Diceros bicornis minor: one gene and its partners. The protein of the gene in region 1 purifies or fractionates together with the protein of each later gene. This does not show direct contact. Links are inferred from orthologs where the notes say so. Each region holds a gene or a part of one and is shown in the gene's direction. Other genes may lie near its edges.

Region 1 (7,966 bases):
ATTTTTATTACTATCATCATTATCTGTCTAGGCTCTGTTAGGCTCCCTCTACATCCAGTCTTTTAATTGGGTATCAGTGTCCTCATTTTTAAAATCAGAGTAACTAAGACTCAGACTAAGCAACTTAGACTAAGACAAAGTAACTAAGACTCATAACTTGTTCAAGATCAGTAACAGCTGAGAAGAGGGGGAATTGAACTCAGGCATGCAATGATCCTTCCACTACAGCAGACGGCCTCCTCTGCCCTCAGAGACCCTGGAGCCTAATGAGACCTGATCACCTTCCCTCTTTTCCAAACATAGAAACTCTGGACCTCCTAGGAGGCTGCCATGCCTGGGCCGCTGCTTCCTTACCCACACAGCCAATGGTCACCACCCCGTCCTTGTAGCGCTCCCGGGTTGGGCCGGTTGGCTCCATCGCTGAGTCAGTCTGTTGCTCCACCAGGACTGCTGGCCCATCCTCCTCTTCCTCCTCCTCCCCAGAGCCAATGCCCCAGGTGGCCCCAGCCATATCCCGGGCAATCTTCTCCCGCCAGCTGCTCAAGTCCACTGCTCAGGGAAGGAGAAAAAGAAGGTTCTCCCCAGGGCCACAGTATATGAGGGCTCAGACTACGCACTGCACAGCTGATGTAACTGGCTGGAGTTACGCTTAACTCCCAAGCCTTCACTTGACCCCACCGTGGAATCATGGGCATTTCTCTGAGTTTCTGGAAAGTACTGGGAAGACTGAAGGCAGTAACCACTGGGGCTCCTGACTACCTGCTGCCTCGCTTGTCCCACCAAGTCAGTCTGCTCCCTCTTCCATCCCTCCCCTTGGCCTATGGCCTGCATCCATAATAGACAGGTTGACTTAGGGAAAGGTTAGCAAAAGGACTGCAGGCCCTGGGTCTCCCCCATGGCCTCCCACAGCTCCCTCTAAGGGGCACATACCTTTCCCCGCAGTGATGGCTTCACAGGCTCTCAGCAACTGCTCTGGCCCCAGGGCCCGAGTCCATCCTCTCCCCCGCCTCCGACTCTTCTTCAACACTGAGATCAGAGAGCACAAAAAGGTTAGCACTCCATCTCTCCCACCACCCTTAGGCCCAAGATCAGGAACCCCCTTGTCAACAAGCCTCTCTGTGCTCCCTTTTGTCCCCTGCCACCCGCCTCTCCCATGCTGCCCTCCTCATTGCCCACTCACCGCTACTAGGGTCCTGTGGGGTGCGGGGGTCCCGAGGGAAAGATGTGAAAAGGACGATGTGGAGCTGGGGATAGTGTTGGTGGAAATAATGCTTCCAGGCAACCACGAGAGGCGGCGGGGCCAGATCCACCTTGTTGAGGACCAGCACCAGTGCCAGGCCAAGTTCTCCAGTCACGTACTCATAAAGTGCTGGTGGGAAATTCACAACCTGGGAGAGGGGTGGTCACGGGATGGAGCAATGAGAGGTCAACCCAGAGTTGACATACGCATGTGAGCAAATGCAGACCGTTGTATGCACATGAAAATAGACATTAATTTCTACCCCAACTCCCATCCCTGTGCCTGCTTCCAGCCTTTACCCCAATGTGCTAGGTGTCGCTATTTCCTTATCTTGTTTTCAGCTCATTTCCATCCCTAACCAGGACCCATAGGAAGCCCCTCAGAGACAAATGCAGAGGTGTTACTTACCCCTGCTTTGTCTTTCTAGTTTAGTTTGGCTCATTTACCTTTTTTGCCCCAGAATCTGCTCCCACCAGGGTCTTGTCTCTGAGCTGTGCCTGGTGAGTGGGGAACTGGAGGCAGAGTATATGTGTACGAGTGTGTGTGTACATGTCATTAACGACCTCCAACCTACATGTCCCCACAGACCTCCCTTTCTCCCACTGGAGGACAATGGTGAAGTGGCAGAGAGGATTCACACAAGGGATGCCCAGCAGCAGAGTCTAGAGCCTGAACCACTACCCTAGCATTCCAGGCGAGGCTGAGTCCCATGGCAACTGATGCGGCAAGAGAGGCGGAAGCCCCCAGCTGCCTTCGTAGAAGCTCCTGGAGCTCCACATGGGGACTTTCTATTGGTCTAGTTCCCAGCGGACTGAGAAACAGAATATGCAGTTTTTCATCAAGGGAAGTAAAGGAGAGGAGAGTCAGTTGGCCAGGGGAGGAGTGACAGTCTGTCATACTGATGAATAAGGGACTGAGCTCCTGACTGCGGACAGCAGCATGGGGGAGAGGAGACTGGAAAGGAAAGAGGACACCTCTCTGTCTCCCAACTCCTGCTCCGCCCTTTACCCCACATGGGAGGAGGGAATCTTCCTCCCTCCTCCCATGTCCGCCTTCCCCCCAGCACTCACTGGATGTCGGATGTCGGTGATGAGAAGGATGATGTCAGACATCTCTAACACTCGCCACAGCTGCCGCCATGTCTGCAAAGACAGGTCAGTAGAAGAGACCCTGAGCCCAGAGTCCCTCCCCGCCTGATCCCAGACCAATCTGAGCATCGGTCACTCCGCCCCACTCCTGTCCTCACTCCATTTTCACCTCCAGATTGTGCTCAAAGTAGCTGAGTTTCTCAGAGGTGTAAGCCCCATGAATCTTCCCAAGATACTCCTGGAAGCTCCGTTCCTCCTGGCTCATCAGTTGCTCCTTGGACATCTCATAGCTCCAGGGAGGACGTCGGGGAAAGTCCAGGACTGGAAAGTCAAGAAAAAGTCCAAGTCAGTACGAGGACAGTTTCAGGACTCAAGGGTGCATCCCAGTCCCCTCCTTCCTGACCGTCAGCTCTTCCGAGCTCCTTCCCTCAGCCCACTGCCTGCCCCAAACACCCGGATGTCCGGCTCTCCCTCACCTGAACCGGGCTGATAGACCTCCCGGATGTCCAGCTCTAGCACCTCAGCGCTGACCGGCTGCAGCACTTGCTCCCGGGCTGCTCTCTTCCTCCTCTCCACCTCCTCCCGGCTGTCTCGCTCAAAATGCAGCCGATATCTAACGGGAGAGATGCCACGGCATCCATCACAGTCCTGTGACCACAAAGTCCCGTCTTCTCTCCCCTTGGGCAGACAACTTCGCAAAGCTTGCTCTCCAGACTTGTTCAAATCTCCTCTCGGAGTCGGCCCTCCCCCAAGTCCCTCTTTCATGGAATATTCGCCCTTCCCCTAAGCCTCGCTCTTCTAAAAGCCAAACTCTCTCCAGCCCCTCCGGAAGGGAAGACGGTGGCCTGCTCCGGTGAGCCCGGCGGCCCGCGGAGACTCGTGGCATCCCAGCCCCGCCACCTCCAGTTTCCAGCCTCCACCAACAGCAGCCGGCTTTCCCCCAGCCGGCTGACTTCCGGGTGGGCGGGGAGGCCCAGGCCAGCGCCCCCCGCCCTTTCTCACCGATTCGGGGCATAGCCTCGCGGGCCCAGCCCCTGGGAAGGCTGCTGGTTGAGCCTGCGGATGTGATGGGTCACAGACTCCCCGTCTGAGGTGTCTGTCTGCTCCTCCCGCCGCTCCCGGCTCCCGCTGCGGCTGTTGGAACTGGATCGCAGCCCATCTTGAAGCCCTGCGGGGAGGAGCCGGTGACGCCAGGGCTGGCAGGCTCGCAGGGGCCATAAGACCCTCTCTTCGGCCGGCCTGGCTCCCCCTCACCCCACCCTACTTCTTTTGAGGCCCGGTCCTCCCAGCCACGGTGCCCAGGACCCTCCCGGATGTGCGTGGGGGGAGTCACTCCTCCTCCAGGGAGCTGCGGGGATGGCGCCCCGTTCGAGCTGGAGGGATTCCCCTCCCCCAACTCTCCATCCTTCCCCACTCCTTCCAGATTTAGGGGGCTGGGATGAAGGAATCCCGTCCGCGGTCGCCCGCGCGCCTCGGCGCGCGACCACCACCCCCTCCCACGCCCCCTAGAGGTGCGGCAGGCACACCCCTCCTTCCAGATGTGCGGGAGCCGGAGCCCCGCCCCCTCGTCTCCCTCCCGCACTGACCTCGCTTCCGCTCCCGCTTGTCCTGCAACTGTTTCTTCTTCTGCTTCACGCTGAAGGGCTTCTTTCTCGGCATGGCCCGGACCAGTCACCTGGCCCGCCCTCCGCCGAGCTCCCGCCGCCTCAACTGACTCCCCCCCCGGGGCAGCCCCCGCCGCAAGGGCCCGGGACCCTTGAGGGGGCGGGGCTCTGAGGTGACGTCAGCGGGCGGGCCCGGCCAATTCGCCCCGGCGGCTGGGGTGGAAGGCGGACGAGGGGAAATACAGTCACTTCCCTCTGCGAGCGAGGCGAGAGGATGATGCGGGGTGGGCTACCCGCACGTGAGAGCCAGTAGTACCGAGAGGGCGCAGCGGCGGCGAGGAAGGAGGCGCGCGTGGGAGGATCGGACAACTTCGTCACGGACGCTACCAACTCGCGTTCGGAGGAGGGGGGACGCGTGTCATCACTACCTTTCGCGCCGGCGAGAAGCTACCACTCACCTGGAGGGGAGCGGCGGAGCGGGGGGCGGGTCCTACCACCTGGGGCAGAGAGGGGCGTGGACACGCAGAAGCTGTTTTACCAACCCCCGGGTGTGACCTTAGTGGAAAGCCGAGACTGCGCGTCCCGGGACTGAAGCCAAGTTTCTGGGCTACACTGGGGGCAGGGTCAGAGGTCTTGAGGGGCGGGTGGTGGTCTGAAAAGTCGTGAGCGCCGCCCTGCTGGGACCCAAATTCCTTGTGGGAACGATGATAAGGAACAGGTTTACAGATTATAAGGGCAAGCGCGGGAGAGGAGGGACATCCAGGTAGGACAAGGACTTTTGGAGGGAGGTCAGAGGGCACGAAGTTGTGCCTGCAGCGGTTACCACAGTAACCGGGTACCGGATGTGGCGATCTTAGGATGCGACATCCCTCTCTTCTCAGGCCTTCTGGGCCGAGAGCCTGTCGACTCTATGGCACACTGTGAGGAGACGGTTGTGGGATTTTTTCAGCGAGGGGAGAAGAGAGGAATTTTTTTTCTAAGCTTTTATACAAACGCAGCAAAGGGACGGTCTGAGATTGCCGCCATGCCTGGCAGAGACCGAGGAAGGCAGTTGGTGTGAGAACGCCACCGCACAAAGGACCCCGCAGCCTTCCGGAAGTGAAATGGCGGGAGCCTCAGCCTCACTGTCCACCGCCCCCCCGGAAGCGGAAACAGAATCCCAGCGTGCCCCTTCCTCACTGCCCTCCAAATCCCGCTGCAGCCATTGCCGCAACCACGATGCCGAAACGAAAGAAGCAGAATCAGCAGCAGCAGCAGCCGCCGCAGCAGCAGCCCCCACTGCCAGAGCGGGAAGATACTGGAGATGAGGAGGATGGGAGTCCCATTGGTGAGGAGCCCGGGAGGGGTGTGCACATGCCTGTCAGCCGGTCAGGGCGAGGAGTTAGGGGCTGAAAAGGTGCGGGGGAGGGGGCTCTAACGAAAGGAGGAAGGGCGCACCCGCTGGGGCAGAGAGGGGACTGTCCGGGATGGAGCCCTGAAGGAGGAGTTCTCTTACTTGAACCCTCAACTTCAATCTGGCTCCTAAAGCTTAATAAACAAGGTAGGGGAGAAGGTAAAGAGCTCGTGTGCGCAGCCGCAGAGTGGCAGGGGAGAGGAGTGGTAGAGGTTGCAGGTTGCGACAACTGGGATGACAGTTTGTGATCAGACTTTCACAGGGAAGGTGGAAGTGCAGCCTTCTCTAAAACTACTCCGGGTCAGGGCGGGGGACCGGGGTGTGCGTGGGCTTGGGGAGCTATCTGATTGGCCAGCAGTTAAAGAGAGAAATTGGATTACCTCTGGTATCACTGAGATGGTCTGGATAGCAACAATGTAAAGAAAAGGGAAAGTTGTAGGTAACCTTCCAGCTTTATCCCCCTTGACTGAGTCTCCACTTTTGGCAAACCCTGAAAACGCTTTGCAGAGGAAAGGGCAGATAGATGGGGTGAGAACTCTTAACACTGCTAAGAATATACCTTTACTGGTTGGATTAAGAAATGACTAATAGAAGAAAAACATAATAAGAATAGGATCATCAGTCCTTTAGTCCATTCTGATGACCATATTTTCATGTCTACTCTTAGGACCACCCAGCCTTCTGGGCCCTCCCCCCATGGCCAATGGAAAGCCTGGTGACCCCAAGTCAGGTGAGGAGGAGGGGGCCCCCTAATCCTTTGATTAGCTCCTGGAAAAGGGAGGGAGTGAAACCTAGAAAGAATATATCCTTTAAAATAAAAATATCAGGGCTTTTTGTACCTAAATAAATGGAGACATGTTGTATACTCACAGTTTGGAAAACTCAATGTCGTAAAAATGTCCATTTTTCCCAAATTCATCTATAGAATCAATGCATTCGCAGTTAGAATCCCTATAATGTTTTTGTAGAAATAGACATTCTACATTATAATATGGACATGGAAATGCAAAGGATCAGCCTGAGAGAATGCAAAGACAGTCTTGAAGTGAGAGGGCTTACTCTGAATATCAAGACAACGTAAAGCTATAGTAGTTATGACAGTGTGATAATGGACATTTAAGTCACTAGGATAGCAAAAAGAGTCCAGTAAAAGGCCCACACATATGTGGACACTTAATTTATGATGAAGATGAAACTGAAATAGTGGTCTTTTCAGTAAATGATGCTGGATTAATTGGACATTCATGTGGGGGAAAAAATGAAATTTGACCTCCTATTCATACCATATACAAACATCAATTCCAAGTGGCTTATAGATCTAAGTGTAAAAGGTGAAGAAATAATTCTAGAAAATTAATTTATTTCGTGGTCTTAGAGTAGATAAGAGTCCTTAGACAAGAAATACAGACACACTAACTACAAAGGAAAGATTGGTAAACTGAACTACATTAGAAAATAAAAACTTCTGTTAATCTGATGACACCATTAAGAAATTAATAGGAAGCCATAGAGTAGCAGATACTTGCGACAAATATAACCAATAAAGAGCTCATATCCAGAGTATATAAAGAACTCTTCTAGACAACCTGTTAGAAAAATGGGCGAAAGACTGGAACAGCCACCTCATAAAAACTGAAATCTAAACGGCTAAAAACATGTGAACAAGAATTCAACATCATTAGTCATTAAATAAATGCAAGATAAAAACACACCACTTTGAAATTGAAACTCTTGTGCACTGTTGGTGGGATTGTAAAATGGTACAACCACTGTGGAAAACAGTATGGAGATTCCTCAAAGAATTAAAAATAGAACTACCGTATGATCCAGCAATCCCACTTCTGGCTATATATCCAAAAGAATGGAAAGCAGGATCTTGAAGAGATATTTGCATACCCATGTTCATAGCAGCATTATTCACAATAGCCAAGAGATGGAAGCAACCCAGATGTCCATTGATAGATGAATGGATACACAAAATGTGGTATATTCATACAATAGAATATTATTCATCCCCCAAAGGGAAGAAAATCCTGTCACATGCTATAGCATAGATGAGGCCATTATGCTAAAGGAAATAAGCCAGTTACAAAAAGACAAATACTATATGATTCCACTTATATGAGGTATCTGAAGTAGTTAAATTCATAGAAACAAAGTAGAATGGTGTTTGCCAAGGGCTGGATGGAGGGAGAAAAGGAGAGTTATTTAGTAGCTATAAAGTTTCAGTTTTGCAAGATGAACAAGTTCTGGAGATCTGTTTCACAACAATGTGAATTAACACTACTGAGATATACACTTAAAAATAATTAAGATGGAAAATTTTTTGCTACATGTTTTACCACAATTTTAAAAAAACACCACTTTTCACCCTCATCAGAATGGGAAAAATGAAAAAGATTGACAATACCAAGTGTGGTCAAGACTGTGTAACAGCTGCTGATGGGAGTGTAAATTGGTACAACCACTTTGAAAAAAAGAGTTTGACTTTATGAAACTCGAGCATACATATGCTCTAGGACCCAACAATACCTCTGCTATGTATATACTCAACAGAAGTGCATACATATGTGTAACAAAGACATGTATCAAAATGTTCATGGCAGCGTTTTTCGTTATAGCCCCAAACTGGACTCCACCC
Region 2 (7,595 bases), on another chromosome or scaffold:
CAATCTTATCATGCTAGAAAGCAAAAAAATCTATTGGACTATTGGGGTCTGTTAAAAAAGATACAGGAGCCAATTCAAAGGGTTTCCCATTGGCTGAAGATGGGACAATTTGAGCATTAACAAGAATAATGACTGCAATGGATTGAAACAAAGCAAATATATAAAAATCCACTAGTTCAGGGGGCCAGCCCCATGGCCTAGTGGTTAATTTCAGCTTGCTCCCCTTCAGCAGCCCCAGTTTGGTTCCTGGGTGTGGACCTACACCACTCATTGGTGGCCATGCTGTGGCGGCAGCCCACACACAAAACAGAGGAAGATTGGCAAAGATGTTAGCTCAGGGTGAATCTTCCTCAGCAAAAAAAAAAAAAAAAAAAAAAAAAATCCAGAAGTTCAGAATGTTATTTAAAACTAGTTAGCTTTGGAGTTTCCTATGGCATCAACTCTTTATTTTAAAAATTGGTAAATAGGGGGAAATTTATCCTGTTTTTCCTATGCTAATTGTATTTCAAGTTAACCAAAGAGTTGAAGAGAGAAAGTTCTTCTCTGTAGACAATTTCCAACTAATAAGTGCACAAGGAATGATAAAATTATAAAAACCACAATTTTGTAACCCCTAATGAAATAGTGGATTGAGATAACACTCATGAATGGCTATTAAAACTACAGAATTTTCTAATGGATAAATCAGACTGGAAATACCTGAACTTCTGATCAATATTAACATCACTAGAAGTGAGACAACCAGACATTATGTGTCTCCTGATGTGATGGCACGCACATCACCTATGTGTGTTCAGAACCATCCATAAAGTATTTCTTTGCCAAAATGTGAAACTGCGTGCAACTAAACCTCTAGAACTAACCATCACTTTAAATGACACCATGAGGTTACAATCAGCTAGGTGGGAAATTCTATAGGACAAATGACCTGATTTCTTTAACAAACAAATATCACTTTAAAAACTGAGTGAGAGTGAACTTTTATACATTAAAAGAGGCTTGAGATATAGCAACCAAATTTAATGAGGACATTGTTTCATCCTGATTTAAATAAACGAACTACAAAAAGCAATTTTTAGATAATCAGAGAAAAATGATCAAGAACTGAGTATTAGTTGATTTTAAAAAATCATTGTCAATTTTGTTAGATGTGATCATGATACTGTGTTACAAAAAAAGTTCTTATTTGTTAGAGATAGATATTAAAATAGTTGCAGGTAAAATGATATGGTGTTTGGGATATACTTTAAAATACTCCAGAAAAATAAAAATTGTGTGCGTGAAACAAGAATGACAAAATGTTGATAAATGTTGAAGCTGGGTATTAGGAAAAGAGGGGTCATTATTCTAGTCTCTCTGCTTTTGTATTTGTTTGAAACTGATCACGATTAAAGTTAAAAGCTGAGTTTTTAAAATGTGTTAGTGTCAACTCCAGCAAACATACAAAAGAGTCTATGAACCACTTAAAGAAAAATATTGAAATATATTCCTATGTATCTACAACCCAGTGCAAAACATGGAACAGTATATTCCCATGTATCCACAACCCAGTGCAAAACATGGAACATTACCGTCTCTCCAAGTCCTCTTTGGTCCACCCCTGAATATCTCACCCTTCTTCTCCTTAGAGGTAACAGCTATTCTGAATTTTGTGTTATAATCCCCTTATTTTTCTTTACAGTTTTTTTTAAGTATTCATGTACTTGTTCTTACACAACATACCATTTTTTTTCTGTTTTTGAACTTCATACAAATGGAATCATGCTTTATGTTGATCTGCTTCTTCAACATCAGTTTTGAAATGATCAATGTTAATGCTTTTAACTGTAGTTTATCCATTTTCACTGCTGCAAATTGTTCCATTGTACACATACACTAGTCTTTTTATCCATTCTACAGTCGGTAGACACTTGAGTTATTTTCAGTATATTATGAACATTCATGTACATTTCTTTGAGGTATATACTTACAAGTAGGATTACTGTGTCACAGCATACATGCAAATGAAATTGAGTAATGCTAAACTGTTTCTAACATGGTGGCTGTACCAATTTACACTTCCTCCAGTAAGGAGTGTTTTGGAGATTTTTCCCTTTTCTACATCTTCACCTTTTCTTAATATTTTCATAGTTCTTAATTTTGGCCAATCTGGTGAGTGTGAAATGATATCTTATTATTATTTTAATTTGCATTTCATTTATTGCTGGTGAGTGTGAGCATCTTCATATGTCAGAGGGACATTTGTGCTTCCTTCTCTGTGAAATACACACATTCATTCTTTTGCCCATGTTCTAACAAATTGTTTTTCTTTTTCTTACTGATTTCAAGGAGTTCTTTATGTATTCTGTATATTAACCTTTTGCAGTTACATGGATTACAAATAACTATTTTGTGGCTTGCTTTTTGACTTTCTTTATAGAATCCTTTGATGAATCAGTGTTCTGAATTTTAACATAGTCAAATTGATCAATCTTGCACTCTTGGTCACTATATTAAAGAAATCTTTTCCTACCTCAAGGCTATAAAGATATTTTTCTATATGGTCTTCTAATAGCTTTATAGGTTTGTTTTTTACATCCAGGCCTTTAATTCACTTGAACTTTTTTCTTCCCCTTTTGTGAAGCAAGGCTCCAATTTCATTTCTTCCATATGGACAGCCAATTGACCCAGAATCATTTATTGAAAAGCTAATTTTTTCTCCATTGCTCTGCAATACCAACTTGGTCATAAATCAAGTGTCTACATAATTGTGGATGTGCATCTGGGCTCTCTAAAACAGGCTGAATTTTCATCATCCAGAAAAAAATAGATTAGCCTAAGTCGGGTAATTTCCCTTCTCACCTCAAGTCTAGAACTGCTGACATTGTTCTTAACTTGTTCTCTTCCTTCAATCTCTCCTCCAAACCATCATTCCTAGTCCTCCTAGGTTCTTAAAGCACAGATTAGCTCACGTCAGCTCTCTGCCCGAAAACGTTAAAGGGTCCCACATTGAAACAATATAAAGAACTGTTTTAAGCTTCTCTAGCTAGACAGTGAACCACTCCAACCTTCAGACTGACGTTAACCTCAACAGTGCCCACAATATAGCAGAAGCTCAGTAAATACTAGTTTCCGTAGACGATTTCACATAAGTTAACTGTTAATGTTTTTTTTCAAGAGAACATGATCAGCCTCCTGGCATATCCAAAATGTTCTCATATGAACTTACATTTATTGTGTTTTGTCAACCTAGAAATTTGTCTAAATCATAAAAAGATTATAAAGTTTTCAGCTCACTATTTCATTGTTTTAAGTATCTTATTAAACCTGTTTTGAAATGTAATCATGTAAAAATATAACTTTAACAAAATCATGCATGCCATTTCAGTTTGATTTACTTTTGTGAGGTTACGAAAACAGACTCTCGGAAAACCAAAATGACAAAACAAAGTAATCAAGGTGTATTTAATAACAAATGAATTTTTCATTACATTTTATTAGATGTGCAAGAACTCCAATCTGGAGGTGCTTTCTTACTTATCCTGTTTGTACATTTTGGTATTCTCTCTTTTTGAGCTAGAGTATAAAAGTCTTCTCCAGGCAGCTTCAGGGACCAATTAACTCCATTAAATTATATCCAGTTATGTAGTGAACCGAACCACTGCTCTCTGGGGCTGTCTAGAGCTGTGACAATTAGGAGATGGAGAGGCAGAAAGAGCGAGATTGATTTTATATGTCACTGAAGCACACTGCAACAATATGCCAGCGTGACTTTCAAAATGGCCTTAAAATATTCCAAACTCAGGGAGTTTCCTTGCTCCTGAGTGGGAGTTGACAGACTGTCTGGCAGCATTAGAAAGAGGCAGAGAAAAGCTGATGTCTATATTGTGTCCTCTAATAATAACATTCTGCCTCTTTGCGGCATCTCCCCCTTAGAAGGATCCGTCTATTTGTTGTGAAGTGTGTATGTGTGGGCGCGCGCGCGAGAGCTTTGCCTCCCCTTGGGTAGAGGACATGATTTCACCTCTCACATCTGGGAAAACCAAACCGAAGGACACTAACCCTCACAAGGTCACCTAGAAAATTAGTCTTGTGACCTGGCGGGTGGGGAGAACAGAACCCAGGTGTCCCGACTCCAGCGTTGTGGTTGGGCACTAAATCACTTTCCTTCCCTTGTGGAAAAACAAAAATCACTGGGCGGGGGGGGGGGGGCGGGGGGGACGGAGTGAGAGATTAATCAGATTTCCTCTTTTTTCTCCTTACCTCCCCTCCCCCTTACGGAGATAAAAACTCATGAAAGCAAACGAGGTGTCCACTCTTCAGTTCTTAAGCTGGGTCCCCCAAATCCATCCCCCAACCCCCGACACAAAGCGATCCGGGCTCCGAGGGTTTCTGCCCGTCCAACCGCGAGCCTGGGAGGTGAGGAGTGGTTAAAACTCAGCCCTCACCTCCAGCCGGTCCCGGCTCCGCGGCGCCCAAGCCCCGCCCCCGCCCGCCCTTCCCCCTCGGCCCCGGCACGCCAGCCCCTCTCCCCTCTCCCAATCGGGCGCACCCACCCCAGATGCCGCTTGGCACCGAGCGCAGCCGCCGCCGCCGCCGCCGCCGCCGCAGCAACACTTTTCACTTGTATTGATCACCTCCCAGCCCGGCTCAGCCTGCTCGCCCGAACCGAGCGCGGCCAGCGCGCCAGCTCTTGGCAGCCCCGGAGCAACCGGGCTCCGGGAGGCAACTCCTTGCGAGCGCCCTGTCCGGGGTGCCCTCTGCGCTCTGCAGTGTCTTTCTCTCTGCCTGGGAGGAGGAGAAGAAGGAGGGGGAGGACGTCTGGTCCCGGCTAGGAGGTGGAGCAGCGGCAGCAGCCGCCGCCGCCGCCGCCGCCGCCGGAAAGGGAGAGGCAGGAGAGATCGAGACTTGGAAACCCCAAAGTGCCCGCGACCCTGCACAGCAGGCTCCCTTCCAGCTTCATGGGCAAAGTGTGGAAACAGCAGATGTACCCTCAGTACGCCACCTACTACTACCCCCAGTATCTTCAAGCGAAGGTAAAGGGGCGCTGGGGGTGGGGAGTGCCGGAGGAGGGGGCCCCGGGAGCGCGCGTGGGTCGGGTCCGGGGAGGGGCGTGCGGAGCGACCCCCCGTCGCCCCCGGTGGAGTTGATGAAAGGTTGCTAACTATAGCGCTGGCCTGGGTAGAGCCGGGCGGCGCGCGGGGCGGCGGCTGCCCGGGCAGCGGAGTGCGGGGATCGGGTTACAGCAAGCCGCGGGGGGAGAGACTAGACAGGAAAGAGCCGCCAGCCCCTTCCTGGCCAGGAGGCGGGGAGGGTCGCGGGGCCGAGCGGCGCCCCTCGCCGAGCGCTGGCTGCTCGGCCGCCGACGCCTGGGGCCCGCGGCAGGAGCCGCTGGCGGCGCGGCTTTCGACCCCTTCTCCTGGGCCTTGCCTTTTGAGCAGTAACTCTTGGCTTGCCTCGGAGTTGCGCGGAGCTTCCTGCCCCCCGGGGACACCCCTCCACCTCCCGCGCGCCCGATGACTGGGGCCTGGGGTGGGGGACGGGACATTTTCCTCCCCGCCTCCGGCCCTGCGCGCCCGCCCCTCGCCTTGATCTTTGTGCGGTGTGGCGCTTCACCTGGTTACTGATCTCTACTTTTACGCTGGTGTTTTGGGTAGAAGAGTGGCCAAAGTTCACTCAGTGTTCACTGATGTCCCTTTGAATCTTCCCTGTGGCTTTTGCAAAGCAGGAACAATGGGCAGATTTCAGTGCAGAGAAAGAAGTGAGTTTGTATTTAGTTTAGAATAATACTACCTTATGTGTTTACCACAGATCGATTTCCAACGGTGCTTTCTCAGAAGTGGCCTTGGCATGCTTTTAGGTAACACTGATGACATGTAGCCGTAGAAATTGCGACTGGCTTTCTAGGGACCCTAGGTACTTTGTTAGTGGACCTATCTTATTTTTACAATAAGAATTTGATGCCTCCTGAAATCGTTAAAAAAAATTGGGTCCATGAAGACTGAGGGTTTCACTGCTTTCGAAGCTTCTTCCACGATTTGGGAGGGCGGAAGTTGGATGCACCAGCTTTCTTCCGCAATTAGCGTCTCCTATCACGACTCCAGGTGCCCTTCTAGATCACAAAACAATCAAGTATGGATGCAGTGTCTGAACTTTATTTGGGAGGTTGTAATCTTGCCCTGCTTGCGGGCAGAGGGCATTTCTGGCCTGGTACAAAGAATCGCTGATTCAACCTTGATAACCTTTTCTGTCTTGCAGTGTGTGTGGTCCGTTTTATGTACCTACAACATAGCTTTGTGTTTGTCCATGTGAAAAGGACACTAGTCAACATAGAGACGGAAATTTCCTAGCACTCGAGGGCCTCGTTTTCACCCCCCCAATTCTCATTTTACTTTGGGTCGCCAGAAAGCAGCAAGATGGTAGCAGCAAGCATACTCATTATTCATTTCTGTGTGGCACCCACCTATTTGTTTTCAGGGACTGGAGGGAGGTGCTTGTTTTCTGTGAGCTACATTGTAAATATAAGTTGTTCAAAGAAATTTTGAGGCATAATCAATGCACTACCTTTTAAATATCATATATGTTTAATGCGCTTGTTTAAATTATGCAGCATTGGGTGCCTAAAAGACAGCCTATTCAACACTTAGCTATATGAATAATAAATACATACGCTCAGGTGAAGAAGAGAAAAGGCCATGTTTCTTCAGGCACATTCACCTTAGTAATTTTTATGTACCATTAGTAAGTTAGAAACCAAGTACATAGCATTTAATATAGCTAATGCAATGCCATTTGGCTCTTTTTGCCCTGTAAATAATTGAAGAGAGAGACAACAGCAAGAGCTTGCTCTAGTAATTAGGGTCGGATCCCAGAAAGCTTTAGGGCCCATTTTCTGAAAGTGTGCTTCCTGCATAAAGCATTTAATATTGATTTGTGTTACGGTAAATGACATTCTCAAAACATATCTTGTTGTTTCTACTGTGAAATCTGAAATCCTATTACTCTGAATCTCTTTGTTTCTGGAGAAAGACACACATACTCACTTGACCTATATAACATGGTATTAAAGTTTGATAATTAAATCTAAATTCCCTGTTGTAAAGTATCTTGATTATCTCAGAAAGGGGCATCTCCCAAAATCTAAAGTGACTAGATGCAGATTTTAGGTAAGCACAGTTCAGAACACATAGCCCTTTTTTTTTCTCCCTTGCATATCTATTGGTAACGTGGTGTGAGTCATTAAAAAGAATAGACACTTCGTTTGATTTGTAGTTAGTTTAAAAACAAGCATCGCCCAATCTGCCTAAAGAGTTCATGAACTCACTTAGAATCTGTTGTCTACAGTGATAATCCTTGCCTGGGTGTGTGTGTGTTTTAACCTTCCTGAAATATGGGATAGAAAACATCACTCTGTTTAAAGTACAGTGATGTGTTTGCTAGTCAGAGTTGTTTTGAAACTTCTGTTTGGAAACTATATCAAAAACCGAGGAATGGCACATCGTTTACAAAGTGGTGTTTGACTTAAACTTGTGCTCAAGAGATGGATATGATTGTTTTGAACTGAGAAAGAATAAATGGATGGGATTTCTTTTCATCAGAAGGAATAGATAACCAAT
Region 3 (7,745 bases), on another chromosome or scaffold:
AGAGAATAGATTGGTGGTTACCAGAGGGAAAGTGGGGAGAGTGAAAGGGGTGAAGGGGGTAAAAGGTCACATGAGTACAGTGACAGATGGCAATTAGTGTTTGGGTGGTGAACGTCATGTGGTCTACACAGAAATCAAAATATAATGATGTAGGGGCCGGCCGGGTGGCGCAAGCAGATAAGTGCGTGCGTTCTGCTGTGGCGGGCTGGGGTTCGCTGGTTTGGATCCCGGGGTGCACACACACACCGCTTGTCAAGCCATGCTGTGGTGGCATCCCATATAAAGTGGAGGAAGATGGGTACAGACATTAGCCCAGTGCCAGTCTTCCTCAGCAAAAAGAAGAGGATTGGCAAATGTTAGCTCAGGGCCGATCTTCCTCACACACACACACACAAAAAAATATATATATAATAATGTACACCTGAGATTCATATACCGTTATAAACTAATGTTACCTCAATAAAAAACTAATTAAAAAGAAAAAAAGTTGTTTTGGCTATTCTAGTGCATTTCCATATGAAGTACTAGCTTGTTAATGTTTTAGAAAACACTGTGCTGGGATTTTAATTGAGATTGTGTTGAATTTATAGACCACTGTAAGGAGAATTGATATCTTAATGCTATGGAGTCTTCTGATCCCTGAACACAGTATATCTTTTCATTTATTTAGGTCTTTAATTTTTATCAGCAGTGTTCTTTTGTAGTTTTTGGTTTTTAAAACCAATTAGAATAAGACAATTCATTTTCTTTCTTATACGTTTTGTTGGCAGTTTGCTGCGAATTACAGCGAAAAGTGAGGTCAACATGAAAGTGACACATATCACTTCAACTCACTACTCATTGGCCAGAACTAATCATATGTTTCCACCCGACTGTAAGAGAGCCAGGAAGTACAATTCTGCTACATACCTGCAAAGGAAGAAAACCAGAAATATTTGGTGAACATCACATCATATCATTGGTTGCCTACCCAACAGCCATTCCCCATCTCTTATTCCTTGCTAAGGGAACCCGAGTTTTGTCCACTCTCTTCTAGGTGAACATCTGCTTCAGGAAAGCCCAGACCTTTCCTGGTAATCCCATTGCTCTTTGCTGGTTATTGGGTTAGCAATGTTCTGGCTAGGAGACATAAAGATGTCTATTTCTGGGACTTCTGGGAAGGTTTTTCTCTCTCTTAAAAAGCAACATCAGACACGGGCACTTATCTTTCCTGCTCTTATCTGGTGCTGTCTGATGATGTGCTTCCTTGAAGTTGAAACCAAAAGGGAATGGCAAACACTCCAAGGCTGGACAGATTCTGGATGACTGAGGGCACTGGTGTACAATGTTGAAATAATCAACCCTGGAACCACCCCACCCTTAGACCTCTTGTTATATAAAATGATAAATGTCCTTATTCTGGGCCTTTTCTGCTTGGGTTTTCTGTAATTTGAAGTCAAAACCATCTAATTAGTACTGAATGCTAAAGGTGAGACAGGAATTGTGCTAAGCACTTCATCTGCATAAAGGTAATACAATCTAATTTAATCCCCATAATAACACTGTGATATAGTCGTGTTTATCATATACATTTTATGGATGGGGAAATTAAAGCATAAAGAAGTTAAATCCTTGCAGAAGGCCACACAACTACAAAGTGGTAAAAACAAAGATTAAAACTTTAGGTCTAACTGACACTAAATATAACTTGAAATCATTTGTAAATGTTTCATGTCTTCCCTACTTTTAGTTTTTCTCTGAAGCACATGTAAAAAGTAGAATTGCAGTGTTTCACTCCAAGCACCCAGAAATTTCCAGGGGTATACAAAAATATTAGATAATGTAGAATCTGATTAACTTTATAATTTACTGCTATGTAACTTTAGGCAAGCATTCGCTCTCTCTCTCTTTTTTTTTTTGGTGAGGAAGATTGGCCCTGAGCTAAAATCTGTTGCCAATCTTCCTTGTTTTGCTTGAGAAAGACTGTCCCTGAGCTAACATCTGTGCCAACCTTCCTCTATTTTTTGTATGTGGGACGCCGCCACAGCATGGCTTGATGAGCAGTGTGTAGGTCTGTGCCAGGATCTGAACCTGCAAACCCCGAGCCGCCGAAGTGGAGCATGCAAACTTAACCACTATGCCACTGGGCTGGCCCCAGGTATTCTCTTTTATTTCAATGAACATGTTCATATCCTCACTAGGCACTAGGAATACAAACATTTAGACATTTATCCAAAAAGAATGGCAAGAAGGAAAAAAGAAGCAAAACATTATGCCCTATTCACAACAATTCTATAAGATGAGTATTAAATATACCCATTTACTGATGGGAAACTTGAGGCTCAAAAGGCAAAGTAAGTAGTCAAGCCACAAAGCTAATAAATGATGGAGTCAATAAGTGGTGGAACTAAGAAGTTATGGAGTGAGATTGAAAGCAATATGTGTCTGACCCCATGTAAAATGTTTTCAGCTTTACCACCATATATTAGGTGCATCTAGGTATTATCTACTGTCTGTGTTTTGTCCTGAAATGAAGCTAGGCTTCATGATCAGCTGGGCCTGGCTTTCATCCCTACCTCATTAATTACTGTGAAAATTAATAAGGGGAAATTTCATTTAAAATGAAGTCAGGAGGCCAGAAGGAGGAGCTCCCATATATTGGAGGTCAATTACAGGAAAGCTAGTCAATTACAGACTTCAACAGAAAGAAGTCAATAACTGGAAAGAATAGTCAATTAGAGGTAGAAATGTACAGTGAATCCCAAACAGAAATCTACTACCCCAGCAACTCACCAGTAAGAAGCCATCATTACACTGAACTCTTGCTTTTCTCCAATCGCTTTCACTCAAGACAACCTCTCCCAATTTCTCCTTTTTTCCTTATCAAATAGTGTTCTTCTCCTTTGATTGTTGGATTTGCCTATGGTCCGCCATAGCATGTGCATCTCGAATTGCAATTCTTTGGCTATTCCTGAATAAACTTGTTTTGCAGGTAAAATAACTGCCTGTTTTATTTTTAAGGTTGACATTACCAATAGCATGGACTTGGGCCAATTTTTAACCTTACCAGCCTGTTTCCTCATTTCTATCATGAGGTAACATAACTACTTCATAAAGTTTTGTGAGGACTGGAAAATAAAAACAGTGCCCCTGGCACTTAATAAATGACAGGCATTATTATTGCACAGCTAAGGAAATTAGGATACACGGAGATAAGGGTAGTAGTAAATGTTCACCCAGTTCACTGGTAACCATGCTAGGACTAGACTATAGGACCTATCTCTACTTATCCAGATCTCTTTCTAGCAGCCAACCAAAGAGAATTAGGAGCTCAAGGATTATGAAGAAAGTTTTTGGAGAGTAGAGACGACCAATCCTAATTCCAGATTCTAAAATATGGCCCACTGATAAATATTTATTGTGTGTCTATGCAGCTGTAGCTGCTGATGAAACAGTGACAAACAAGATAGACAAGGTTCCTGCTCTCAAGGAGCTTATATTCTAGCAACAGCAAATAATAAACAAAATAATTTCAAACAGTGGTAAATGATAACAGCTTGATGTGGGAGAGCCTGTCTAGGTAAGGGATGGAATCCTGCCTTAAATGATGAGAAAGAGGCATCCATATGAAGTACTGGGAGGAAAATTGTCCTGTGCAGGAGGAAACTATGCAAGTGGAAAGTTTGCTTGATGGTAATGAACTTGGTGTGTTCAAGGGACGGAAGGAAATTAGTGCATCTGAGCACGGTAAGTGAGGATGAGAGTGGTGGGAGATGAGATTCATGGAGGTAAGCAGAGGCCAGATCAGGCAGGGTCTTGAGGGTCATGGTAAGGAATTGAGGGTTTTTTTGTCATTGCAATGGGGAGCTACTGGAGTGCTTATGTAGAGGTGTTATCATACTTGGCTTATATTTTTAAAAAGATCACTCTGATTGCTCTTTGGAGAATGGATCATAGGAAGACCAGAGCAGAAGCAGTTAGGGTGGCTGGGATTTAGTTTATGTTAGTAGACTTGTATACAAGCAAATGGAAATTCTTATCATCTTTCTTGACCTCCCAAACTAAAGGGTTCCACCTTCCTATTCCATCATCTCATATAGCACTATCATTTAATCATTTATTTGTTTATTGTCTGTCACTCCCATCGAGGGTTGCCAGATAAAATACAGACGCTGTTAAATTTGCATTTCGGGTAATGAATATTTTTTAACTATATGTGTTCCTAAATACTGCACGGGAATTGCGTAATACTGAAAAACTATTAGTTATCTGAAGTTAAACCGGGCATTCTGTAGTTTTGTTTGCTAAATCTGGCAATTCTACCCCCACTAGAATGTAAACTCCAGGAGGGCAGGAACGATTTGTCTGGTTCCCCAACGCATATCTAGGGAGCAGCATAGTGCCTGCCAGGCACACAGTAGGAGCCCACACATGCTTACTGAATGAATTAATGAACGATTTAACAAAGTAATGAGTGACTGAAAGAAAGGATGAACGAGAGCCCCTCGGTGCGGGGTGTGGGGGAAGACGGAGAGGATCAGACCGGCGGGGAACTTTAGATTGGTGTGCAGCGGCCAAGGCAGACGGCGGCCGACGCGCTGAGGTCACGGGCACCGGCGGCCCTGGTGACGTCATTACGCCCGCGCTCTCGGCCTCGCCCGGGCTTAAGTGGCACCGGCGCCTCCCTGGGTCTTGTGGTGATTGGGGGCTTTGGGGTGACCCCGGCCCAGCGCAGGCCGCCTGTGGAGCCGTCCGGTCCCAGCAGTGGCCCCCGAGCCTCCCTGTCTCTGTCACTGGCCGTCAGCCAGCAGGCCTGGCCGCCCCCCAGCGGGGAGAACATCTCCTCAGGGCCATGTCGAGGCCGAGCAGCGTTTCCCCGCGGCCGCCGGCTCCTGGCGGTGGCGGGGGTGGCGGGGGCGGCCTCTCTCAGTGTGGCCCTGGGGGCGGCGGCCGCGCCAAGGGGCTGAAGGACATTCGTATAGACGAGGAGGTGAAGATCGCAGTCAATATCGCTCTGGAGCGCTTCCGATACGGGGACCAGAGAGGTGAGGTTCCCGACAGGGACCCCGCCGGCTGCCCCACCTCTCCCTAACCCGGCGCCCGGTGTGAAGGGGCTGCGCCAGCGGAGGGAGGGAAGACCCGGGCAGAGGCGGGCCGGGGGCCTGGGCCGCGGTGGTTACCCTCGGCGGGAGCTGAAGAACCGCACGGCGTCCTGCGCATCGGCAGCGTTGTGGGGCACTTGCCTGGCATCAGAAGGTGGAAAAGTCAGGTTGCCCCCTTGCACGAGACGTTTCTTCCCCCGAGGGAGAGGCCTATCTACGGCAGCTTTGGGCGGCTAAGCCACAGTTTTTAGATATTAGTAAGCCCCTACCTTTTTTCTTCTTTCTTTTTTTAAAGGAGGTTGTGGTAGCCTTAACGTTTGCGCCACAGAGGTGGAAGAGCGGAAGGAAATCAGACAAATAAATGCACTGGCAATCTGTAGTGCTTTGATTAATTCCTAGAAGCATCACGTTAGACACTTAAAATGAAACTTGTTTTGGTATAGGAGACTCCTTCCACACCTCTTAAGGTTAGAAAGCTACTTGTCTTGGGTCACATGATACGGAACCAGCAGCCGACCTGTGGTAATCGGTACAGTAGAATGATGCTCATTCCGATTTGCTGGCCTAGATAGGGGGTCCCTTACTCTGGAAGTTCACAGTCCAAAACAGGGAATGACCTGGACAGAGTGATTCTGGACTTAACGTTAAACAAAGGTAAAGCTTCGGCGATATAGAACAAATCCAGTCTGAGATAGTGATGAATTATCACTAATGAGATAGAATATGAATTTTATACAGTTTTGAAGGCAAAGACAGTGGAGTTTGATGTTGAGCATTCCTAATACTTGAGCATCCTCATCATGGAAGGAAATAAACACTCTGTTAATTAAGCAAGTAAGGACTAAGTTAAAATAGTAAAATATCATCAACCATTGTACCAGTTCAAGATTCCAGCACAAATAAGAGGAGTAATCTTTGGTGAACATTAGAGTCCTTTATCACGTTTAGGCTTAATTTTTATTCATATCATAACTGGTAGACATTCAGTAGTTACTGAATTAATATCTACTTTTCACATAAAATATAATACGTTTGATTATACGCTATATGGCTTTTTTCATGTTTTATTTCTATATATGTGTATTGAAGCACCTTTGAAGAAAATTGCCTATCCTCAAATGGTACTTTGTGTTTTTTTCCGTGTAGAAATGGAATTTCCTTCTTCTTTGACCAGTACTGAAAGAGCCTTTATTCATCGATTGAGTCAGTCTCTTGGTTTGGTCTCTAAAAGTAAAGGGTAAGCTGATAGCTTTTTTTATTTAAAAAAAACTAGTTACCAAAAAAAGAGAAATGTTTCTGATTGCATTTACATAGTTATTACTGTTCTAGATTCACATCCTTAATTATATTGTGTGTAGATAAACTGATTCATGTCTATCAAACTCAGCTCTTTCCTATTTCTCCTATCCCCCTTTTTTTGTTTTCCCTAGGAGACAACAAAGAAATAAATTTTAAGATTTACTTAAAAGTAAGAAAAAAATAGCTTAAAAGTTGAAACTGATTGCTTGAGAAAAATATTTTCTTTTCTCATAGAAGCTAAATCTTTTTCTAAGAATGTATGGAATAAAGATAATAAGTACAATTATTTACAGAACTTATCTCTTTTAATGTTACTGTACCATAATGGTAAGCTTTAGAGTGCATGTTCATTGTTTTCTTTCCTACCAACTCAAGAATCTGATGATTAGAAATGATGAGGTAAAACAGAACAGGAGGAAACAGTATATATTTTTTGAAAGTTCACTGATCCGTACAGAGAAGAAGTGATTTGAGCCATTCCAGTTGAAGAACTCTGAAATTCTGTGGAGCTACTTCATTTTGGGAATAAGGATAGTGGGATTCAGATATAGCAGGGTTTCTCAATGTTGACATTTTGGACTGGATAATTCTTTATTGTGGAGGGCTGTTTTGTGCATTGTAGGATGTTTAGCAGCATACCTAGCCTTTACCCACTAGATGCCAGTAACACCTCCACCTCCAGTTGTGACAACCAAAAATGCCTCTAGACATTGCCAAAATGTTCCCTGGGAGCAAAATTGCTCCTGGTTGAGAACCACTGAGAGAGGGAAAAAAAATAAAATTTCAACTTACCACTTTTTAGGTTAAGAAGAGGGAAAACAAAACTTTATTAAGTAACTATATTAATAAATAAATAGTAGGAAGGTCCTAAGATGAAATTAGCTGATGTAGGGATGTCTTGCATATGAGTACCCACCACAGTGATTACATTACTGACTGAGACAGAGGCTTTAGCTTAGGTGAATGTGCATTTTGAACATCGTTAAGGCCAGTGCGGGGGAACAGTGGTTAGGTTCCTGAGCATGCCCAAATTATTGTCCTCTGCATAGATAAAATTCTGCACTTGAAAATAAAAGTAAAGTAGAGAGTCATAATTCTTTATCCAAAAACACCTGGACCAAATATGTTTTGAGATTCAGATTTTTCAGATTTTAGAAAGGTATTAGGGTATATTTGCAATATGTTATGTAACATTCTTAACAAGGTATAGGCATCACCTTTAATCACATTAATATTTCTGCTGGAAAGTGTATGAATATTCCCACTAAAATAAAAGACTAGAAATAGCCTCATGTCAATTTAATCAGGATTTGCTGCCAAATGAAGTTGTTGCAAACTTACAAAAATCTTTCAGTTTTCAGAGCT
Region 4 (7,955 bases), on another chromosome or scaffold:
GGACAGGGGCACGCAGGTCAACTCTGCTGGTTGGCTCCACAAGACCCCTTTGCACCTTGCTGTGGAGTGTGGCCACGGCCCCACCACAGAGCTTTTGCTGAGCCGAGGGGCCAGCCCCACCCTGAGGACGCAGTGGGGTGAGGTGGCCCAGGATCTGGTGTCCGAGGGGGCCTGTCCCAGGCGCTGCCTGCCCTTTGCGGAGAACAGGAGTGTTGGGGGCACAGAGGGGCCCCAGGGGCCCTGGCTTCTCGCCTCAGGGTTGAGCCCACGTGGCCAGAGCAGGACAGATAGCTCCTGGCTCCCACAGCCTTCGGAGTGTGCCGGGCTCCTGCCTTCTGAGCTGAGGCCACCTGCCTGGGCAGAGGGGAGAACAGCCAAGAGGTTCCTGGAGGAGGAGGCAGTGGCTTGAGCCCCAGTAATGGGCCTGTAGCCGGCCCTGGGACTGCCCCACTGACTCCCACGGACCTATCACCCCTGCAGCTCCAGGCTTCTCTAGACTCTGGTGGAGAGACTGAGTTGTAGCAACAATCTGACCAAAACCCGATGGTCTCCCCTTTGTCCACCATGGGGGTGTCACCCTCAGTTGCTCGTTCTGTACATGGGAGCGTTCTTACTGTGTTTTCTTAGATTCAATATTTGTCTAGTGACATCCATTAATTACAGGGCCAAACTAACGGCCACAGTTGTTTACATCTCCCCTGTGATCCAGTGCCCATACTCTCAACTGCCACCTTCTCTCTCACACCTCCAGCAGATGTCCTCCCGGCCCTAAATCACCCAGGGCCAGGTACCAGACACCTGGGGACAACCCCAATGCACCAAGGCCCACTGGGATTACCCAACAAACCAATCCTAAACTGTTTCCCGCCCTGCCTTGCCTTTCCCGTGGGAACCCCAATAAAGGCTCTGGCCTGAGCTTCCTTGATCCTGCTTCCTCGTCCTGGCTGACACTGGGGCTTCCCCTGTGGCCCTGGGGGGCATGGTGTGAAATGTAATAAGAATCTTCTTTCAATGGCATCACCCTCTCCCTGTCATCACTCAGCCATCTCATAAATTAAAACCCGGGGGTACAACTGAAACGGGGACCATCGTCTGACTGCCCACCTCATAGAAGATCGTTGCCATTATTTGATTTTTCTGAGTGAACAGTTTTACAGGATAGATTTCATCTTTCAAAAGTGAGAGTTGTCATGCCAAATTAGCACCTCTGTGCCCAGGGGCTATGGAAGCCCTTGGATTTTACTCCCAGGGCAACAGGAAGACTTTGGGGAGTTTATGTGAGTGTGACGAGGTCTCCTCAGCTCACAGAGCCTGCCAAGTGCAGAGCGGACTGCACCTGGAAAAGGGAAGCACAGGGTACCCGTGAGATGGTGGTGGCATAGCAGTGGAGGTGGGAGAAGCAGGCAGATTGGGATGACTCTGTGGGCAGAGCCCTCTGGACTTGCTGATGGGTTGGATGCAGGGGGCCAGGGATGGGGAAAGACAGCAATGAGTCCTGGCAAGTCTCGGGCCCCAGGTGGAGGGGAGGGTGGGAGAGCAGATGCACAAGATGAGACTGAGGGAGAGGTGGAGGCTGGGGTGACATCTTTAGAGTCCTCAGAGTCAGGATGGGGATTTTTTTGTTTTGTTTTTTGCTGAGGAAGATTTGCCCTGAGCTAACACCTGTTGCCAATCTTCCTCTTTTTGCTTGGGGAACATTTGCCCTGAGCTAACATCTGTGCCGATCTTCCTCTTTTTTGTATGTAGGTTGCCGCCACACTATGGCTGCTGACAAGTGGTATAGGTCTGCACCTGGGAACCAAACCTGGGCCACCAAAGCGGAGTGTGCCGAACTTAACCACTAGGCCACAGGGCTGACCCCCAGGATGGTTTTTTTTCTTTCTTTTTTGGTGAGGAAGATCAGCCCTGAGCTAACATCCAATGCCATTCCTCCTTTTTTTTTTTTTTTTTTTGCTGAGGAAGACTGGCCCTGGGCTAACATCCGTGCCCATCTTCCTCTACTTGATATGGGATGCCGCCACAGCATGGCTTGACAAGCAGTGTGTCAGTGCTCGCCTGGGATCCGAACCTGCGAACCCTGGGCCGCCAAAGCAGAGCGCGTGCACTTAACCCCAGCGCCAACGGGCCGGCCCCCCCCACCCCCACCCCTACCCGCGATGGTTTTTAAGGCTGCAGGATGGACCTCCACAAAGACGGCCAGCACAGCCTGTGGGCTCCACCTTCAGAGCCTGAGTGCCTCCCACCTCCTCCACCTCACCCACTATGTCCAGGCCACCACCAGCCTTGCTGGAATGTTGCCATAGCCAAGCCAGCCCCGAGCCTGACTCGTCTGCCTGCTTGAGCCCTTGACTCCCTGCAGTCTGTTCTCAAAACAGCAGCCGTAATCTTATTGATAAGTTGGATGAAGCAACTCACCTGCTCAGACCCCACCAACGGCTCCCTTTCATGGAGTGCAAAAGCCAAACATGGCACATTGTGTTGTTCACAGAGGCCCAGTGACCTCGCCCATCTCATGTGCCCTTTCCATAACGTGATCTCTGTGTTCCTCCCACCCAGAACTTGGGGCTCTGTCTCCACCCTGACATCGAGTGGACTTCTGTGACTATTCAGGTTCGCAGAGTACTGCCGGAGTGATGCTGCGTGACTTTCCAGGGTGGGCTAGGGAGGTGATAGGGTTCCACATTGCCTTGTCCTTAGGCCACCATGTAAGCAGCCTGACGGCCCTGTGGCTGCCATGCTGTGGGGAAGCCCAGACGCAGCACGATAACCAGAATATCAAGTCCTTACACGACCTTCAAGGCCCTACACATTCTCACCGGCCTCTGTCTCTGGCCTGCGACTTGCTCACTGAGCTACAGAGGCCTGACCCTGGGACCTCACCAGCTCCACTCCCAGCACATTGGCATTTCTGCTGTTCTGGACCACACCAGGCATGCTGCTGCCTCAGCTCCTTTGTGCTTGCTGATCCCTCTGCCTGGCATACTCTTCCCTCAGATACCTGCCTGGCTTCATCAGTTATTTTCTCCTTTACTCAAATATCACCCTCTCAGTGCACTCTTCTAACACTGTTTAAAATTGCACCCCCCAAATGGCAAAGCTCTTCTCTCAGTAGAATGCCAGTAAATATGGAAAGAATGATGGAGTTAGAGAATCAACAATGGATGCTCAAATGAGTGAGTGCAAGTTTGATGAAGAACAGGATGTTGTCTCAAAGCCCGACGGCTGATGGGGGTGTGCTGCTCAGGTAGCCATTCAGGACCACACTTGTTATTCAGCTTCAAGTCCACTGCAGCACTTCAGCCAACGGCATGCTCTTCCTGGCAGTCCCAGATGCTGAGCACAGCTAAGATACTGGGGTCTGGCCATTTCTGCCCAACACGAGACTTCTCTAACAGGCAATCTTCACTTTGGAATTACTGGGTTAGCCCAGATGCTGTCCAGTCTGCATCCCTTCTGAGGCCCTCCAGGCCCAGTCCTCTTCCTCCCTCTTTAACAGGCGTTACACAACCCACCTCTGCACTCCTACCTCCCTCAGTGTCTGCTCACCAGAAGGCCTGTAATGACTCACCAGGTATTTCTCAACAAATTATTTATTAGTTACAAAAGTAGAGAAACCTGGCAAACGATACCTTAACCAAGTGGTCAAAGCTGACATCACTCATGTTGGGATAGGCTGCCATCATGGCCTCCTGAAACCAGCCACCAAGAAGGACACTATTTAATTTCTGTAATATTCTGCAAAAATGTAAAACCTGATTCGGATCATGAGGAAACATCAGGCAAACTCAAACTGAGAGGCTTTCTACAAAATAACTAGCTCATACTCTTCAAGAATGCCAAGGTCAAGAAAGACAAAGAAAGGCTGAGGAACTCTTCCAGATTAAGACTAAAACTTAGACACAACAGCTGAATGCAGTGCCTGATCCTGGACAGGGAAAAAAATGATGAAGTACATTTGACACAATTGGAATATGGACTGTAGGCTAGACAACAGTATTGTATTAATGTCAAATTTCGTGATTTCGATCCTTGTGCTGTGGTTTGTAAAAACATGTCCTTGTTCTTAGGAAATACACAGTAATTAGATATCGCCAACTTCCTCTCAAATGGTCCCCCCAAAAACCCCACTGTGTTCATAAACGTTTATAGAAAGAAGGACTAAAAAACGGAGCAAAATGTACACAGTTGGCGCATTCGGGTAAAGCGTACTGGTAGTTCCTTGAACTGGTCTCGCATCTTTTCCGTAGTTTGAAATTATATGCAAATAAAAAGTGACAGGGAAATTGCACACCCGTAATGTGCCCCCTGCACCATTTCCCGCTGTGGTCAAACAGACCGTGAACAGTGCACCGTTCTGAAGGGTCCTGCTCTGGGCGGTCCGTCCTTGCACAGCGGTAGGCGACCATCACCGCCGTCCAGCTTCAGGACATCCCATCACCGCCAGAGGGAACCCAAGCCGTCGGAGGCACTCGGGGCCGCTCTCCGTCCCTGGGTCTCCCATCCCGCGCATGCACACGAAGGGCCGCACCACGCCCTCCCGCAAGCTGTTGCCCGCCCGCGGCCGCAAGGCCCCGCGTCCCCTGCACAGCACACGCCTGCACCTCATCGGCTGACGGCTAGTCTGTATTGCCCCGCGCCCAGCGCGCCCCACGCCCCCGTCCGGGAGGTCCGGCAGGGCCGCCGGGCCCAGCGCAGCAGGGAGGAACTCGCCACCGCCCACCCGCCCGGCCCATCTTGCACGCACAAGAGCATGCGCACAACCGTGGGGGGCCCGGCGGCGGTGGGGACCCAGGGCGCACGCGCGGCGCCCCGGAAGTCCCCCTGGCGGGCTGCTGACCCGGAAGCGCTGGGAGCCCTCCCGCTTCCGCTGGCTGCGCGGAGGCGGCGGCGCGTGCCTGGTTGAGGGGCTGTTGGCCCGCGGGCGCTATGGTCTTCCTCACCACAGCGCTCTGGCTACGGAGTCGCCTCACCGACCGCTACTGGCGGGTCCAGGAGGTGCTGAGGCACGCGCGGCACTTCCGGGGGAGGAAGAATCGGTGCTACCGGCTTGCCGTCCGGGCTGTGACGAGAGCGTTTGTGAAATGTACGCGAGCCCGAAGGGTGAAGAAGAGGAGCATGAGGACGGTGAGCGAGGCCGGGGCCCCTCCGGGTGGACGGTGCGGCGAGGACGTGTGAGCGTTTTAGCCGGCCTGCCCGGGGAGCGGCTCCTCCGCCCGAGGCGGGCGCCGCAGGACCGCTCCTTCGTTTCTCCGGCGGAATGCGGGCCGTCCGGGTCCCGCGCCCCTCGCCGCGCTCTTCCCGGGCCTGCCGGAGCCCCCCGCTTGGCCCGGCCGCGCCGTCTCTGCCGCCCGCACCTCCCTTCTGCCTGGAAGCAGCGGCGGGAAGCTTCCCGTCACACGTAGGACGGGCCGGACGCAGACAGGCCTGGTCCCTCCGGGCCTGTCCCCGGCCGCTCGCCCCCCTCCCCGCTCCGGGCCGCTCCTGGCTCCCGACGGCTCCTGGAAGAAGCCGGGCCGCCCTCGGGGCTCGTGCATCGCGCGTGCCACCTTCCTGGTTCGGCTCCCTCCCCTGCGAACTTAGCGTCCAGCGCCGCGTCTTTTACTGGGTTGGTGGTTTATTGCTCGTCCCCCCACCCCCGCTAGAAGGGCAGTTTCGGAAGAGATCTTTCTGTTCTGCTGAATGCTGTAACCAGGGGTCTAAATCAGTAGCACTTTGTCAGTATTGCCTGAATGCATAAGGGAGGTAATTCTGACCCTTTAAAATGAGAAAAGTGTCATTAACCCGAGATTAGGGCCACAGCGTGATAAACTATCTCTGCACGGTGGTCTGTGCGGGAGGGGCCTCTGCATCCCAGCTCAGCTCTGTTTTTTGTGCCTTGTTCTGTCGGAACGGGATAGAGGTGGTGCTGCCGCCTAGGACCCCACAGGGCTCTGGTCACTGATGCGTATGTGGAGAGTTGTGGCCAGTATCTGGTGGCACGCACGCCCTTGCTGCTACAGAGGAGAGCCGAGGCTCTCGCGGGGCGGGGCTCCCTGTACAGCAGCAGCCTCACCTGGGAACTTGTTAGAAATGCAGATTTTCAGGCCCCACCGGCACCGGCTGACTCAGAAACTCTGGAGGTGGGGCCCAGCAATCTGTTTTAACAAACCTCTAGATACTTCTGGTGTGGGTTCAAACTTGAGAACCAGTGAAATTGAGGAAGAAAGTGGACTTGAGTACTGTCCTAAGACTAGTAACGAATGGCTTAAGAGAGTCCCCCTTGGCCTCCCCCTTGTTTAACGCACCAGAGCCGTCAGAAGCTTCCACATCACATCGCCCTTCCAGATCTTCCCCAGCCTCCCCATCAGCCTTGACTTCCCTGCAGCCTTCAGACCTTTGTTGCACCTGGAACAGACCCTGCTACTCCCTGCTAGCTGGGTCCTCTGAGGCCCCTTTCCTCCCTCCCTCAGGCCTGCTCTTTCCCCAAAACTCTTCACCTCCTTGAAGCTTCCACTTCAAATGTTTCATCCTTGCCTGGTGGCACTTACCTCAGTGGCTGTCATAATTCATCCACATGGATCCTTTCTACACTCTGAGCTGTGTGTGCTGCAGAATCTCTTGCTCATCTTTGTATTCTCAGTGCCTAAAAATGTGCGTTGAATGAACGCCTTCCAGCACATGGTTTTTCTGTTTCTCCTTTAGAAAGCAGCTGGCGGGGGCCGGCCCCACGGTGTAGTGGTTAAGTTTGTGCGCGCTCTGTTTCAGTGGCCCGGGGTTCTCGGGTTCAGACCCCGGGCACGGAGATACGCACTGCTCGTCAAGCTGTGCTGTGGTGGTGTCCCATATACAAAGTAGAGGAAGATGGGCACAGATGTTAGCTCAGGGCCATACTTCCTCACCAAAAAAAAAAAAAAACGGTGCTTGGGTGACATGCATCAGCCTTTGCTCACTGTTATCTGTACTGCAGGCCTGTTTGCTAATAGAAAACATTGGCTTTTCTATTTACTTTTACAAAAAAACCATTTGGTTCACTCAGAACTTTGTTGGAAGGCGTGGACATAACATAGAGAACTAGTTCTTAAGCATCTTGATGTTTTTTTATTTCAGCTCTGGATTAATCGAATTACAGCTGCCTCCCAGGAACATGGTCTGAAGTACCCGGCATTCATTGGCAATTTAATTAAGGTACAGTTGAGGATGTCCTGCTGCGATGCTGACCCTCTACAGAAACCGGCCCAGCTGGTGTGGTCCAGCAGCTGGGCAGTGGAGTGTTAGCACCCTGGCACTGCTGCTGTCCTCTGGGGAGGGGGGCCAGTTCTGGCAGGTTCAGGGACTCACTACGCTTGCTTTGCCCTTGCTCCTGGTAGCAGAATTGGAAATGGGGCATGTGGTACTAAGACGTGAGCTCTGGAGTTTCCCCATCAAGGGAAAAAGGTAGAAAAACTTAGCTTTAACTTTAAAGTTTAATTTAAACTTTATTTAATATAACTGAAGGATTTCTGATGAGGTAGCAGATAAAGTTGAAACTCACACAGTGAAAAAGGAGGAGGAAATGTCTTGGAGGGGATAGATTAAGCATGAGTCCCAAAATCTTGGTAATTGTTGAACCTGGTGATTATGCTATTCCTTCTGCTTTTGTGTGCATTTAAATTTTTTCTGAAAAAGTTAAGGGGAGTGTGTGTTGTGCTTCTCCTTGTATCAGGCCCTGTCTTTGGTGCTTTAGCAAGATTCTCAGGGTAAGGGTAGAGGGTGTGACATCCCCATTTTACTGATGGGGAACTGAGGCTCAGAAAGGAGATGGACTTTGCCCAAGGCACACAGGTCCCAGGTGGCAGAACAGGATCCACTCCTCCTGCTTAGCTGCATTTAATGCGCAGAGACCATCCCACCTCTCTGCCCCTCAGGCTCACTGGCAGTGTTCCAGTTTTCTGAAGTCACCTGCCATTTGGCTTGATTGATGATGTGGTCTGGCTCTT

Evidence for each region.
Region 2: the proteins of PRR3 (region 1) and RBMS1 purify together in Homo sapiens (co-immunoprecipitation; 3 studies listed by BioGRID and IntAct, with this or other methods). This does not show direct contact. The link is inferred for Diceros bicornis minor from reciprocal best matches to the Homo sapiens genes PRR3 and RBMS1.
Region 3: the proteins of PRR3 (region 1) and YTHDC2 purify together in Homo sapiens (co-immunoprecipitation; 3 studies listed by BioGRID and IntAct, with this or other methods). This does not show direct contact. The link is inferred for Diceros bicornis minor from reciprocal best matches to the Homo sapiens genes PRR3 and YTHDC2.
Region 4: the proteins of PRR3 (region 1) and MRPL20 purify together in Homo sapiens (co-immunoprecipitation; 3 studies listed by BioGRID and IntAct, with this or other methods). This does not show direct contact. The link is inferred for Diceros bicornis minor from reciprocal best matches to the Homo sapiens genes PRR3 and MRPL20.

Annotation. Positions count from the first base shown.
Region 1 is NC_080753.1:34,524,011-34,531,976, reverse strand, and holds the start of PRR3 (proline-rich protein 3), read left to right. Parts: upstream 1-4,956; 5' UTR 4,957-5,150; coding exon 5,151-5,259; intron 5,260-5,992; coding exon 5,993-6,055; intron 6,056-7,946; coding exon 7,947-7,966. Other genes in the region: GNL1 (guanine nucleotide-binding protein-like 1), read right to left, coding at 355-549, 931-1,026, 1,181-1,388, 2,311-2,382, 2,498-2,649, 2,805-2,941, 3,331-3,496, 3,915-3,987.
Region 2 is NC_080749.1:43,049,129-43,056,723, reverse strand, and holds the start of RBMS1 (RNA-binding motif, single-stranded-interacting protein 1), read left to right. Parts: upstream 1-4,549; 5' UTR 4,550-4,940; coding exon 4,941-5,015; intron 5,016-7,595.
Region 3 is NC_080740.1:35,982,197-35,989,941, forward strand, and holds the start of YTHDC2 (3'-5' RNA helicase YTHDC2), read left to right. Parts: upstream 1-4,637; 5' UTR 4,638-4,831; coding exon 4,832-5,024; intron 5,025-6,227; coding exon 6,228-6,318; intron 6,319-7,745. UniProt on the Homo sapiens protein: 3'-5' RNA helicase that plays a key role in the male and female germline by promoting transition from mitotic to meiotic divisions in stem cells.
Region 4 is NC_080752.1:22,353,782-22,361,736, reverse strand, and holds the start of MRPL20 (large ribosomal subunit protein bL20m), read left to right. Parts: upstream 1-4,892; 5' UTR 4,893-4,926; coding exon 4,927-5,124; intron 5,125-7,086; coding exon 7,087-7,164; intron 7,165-7,955.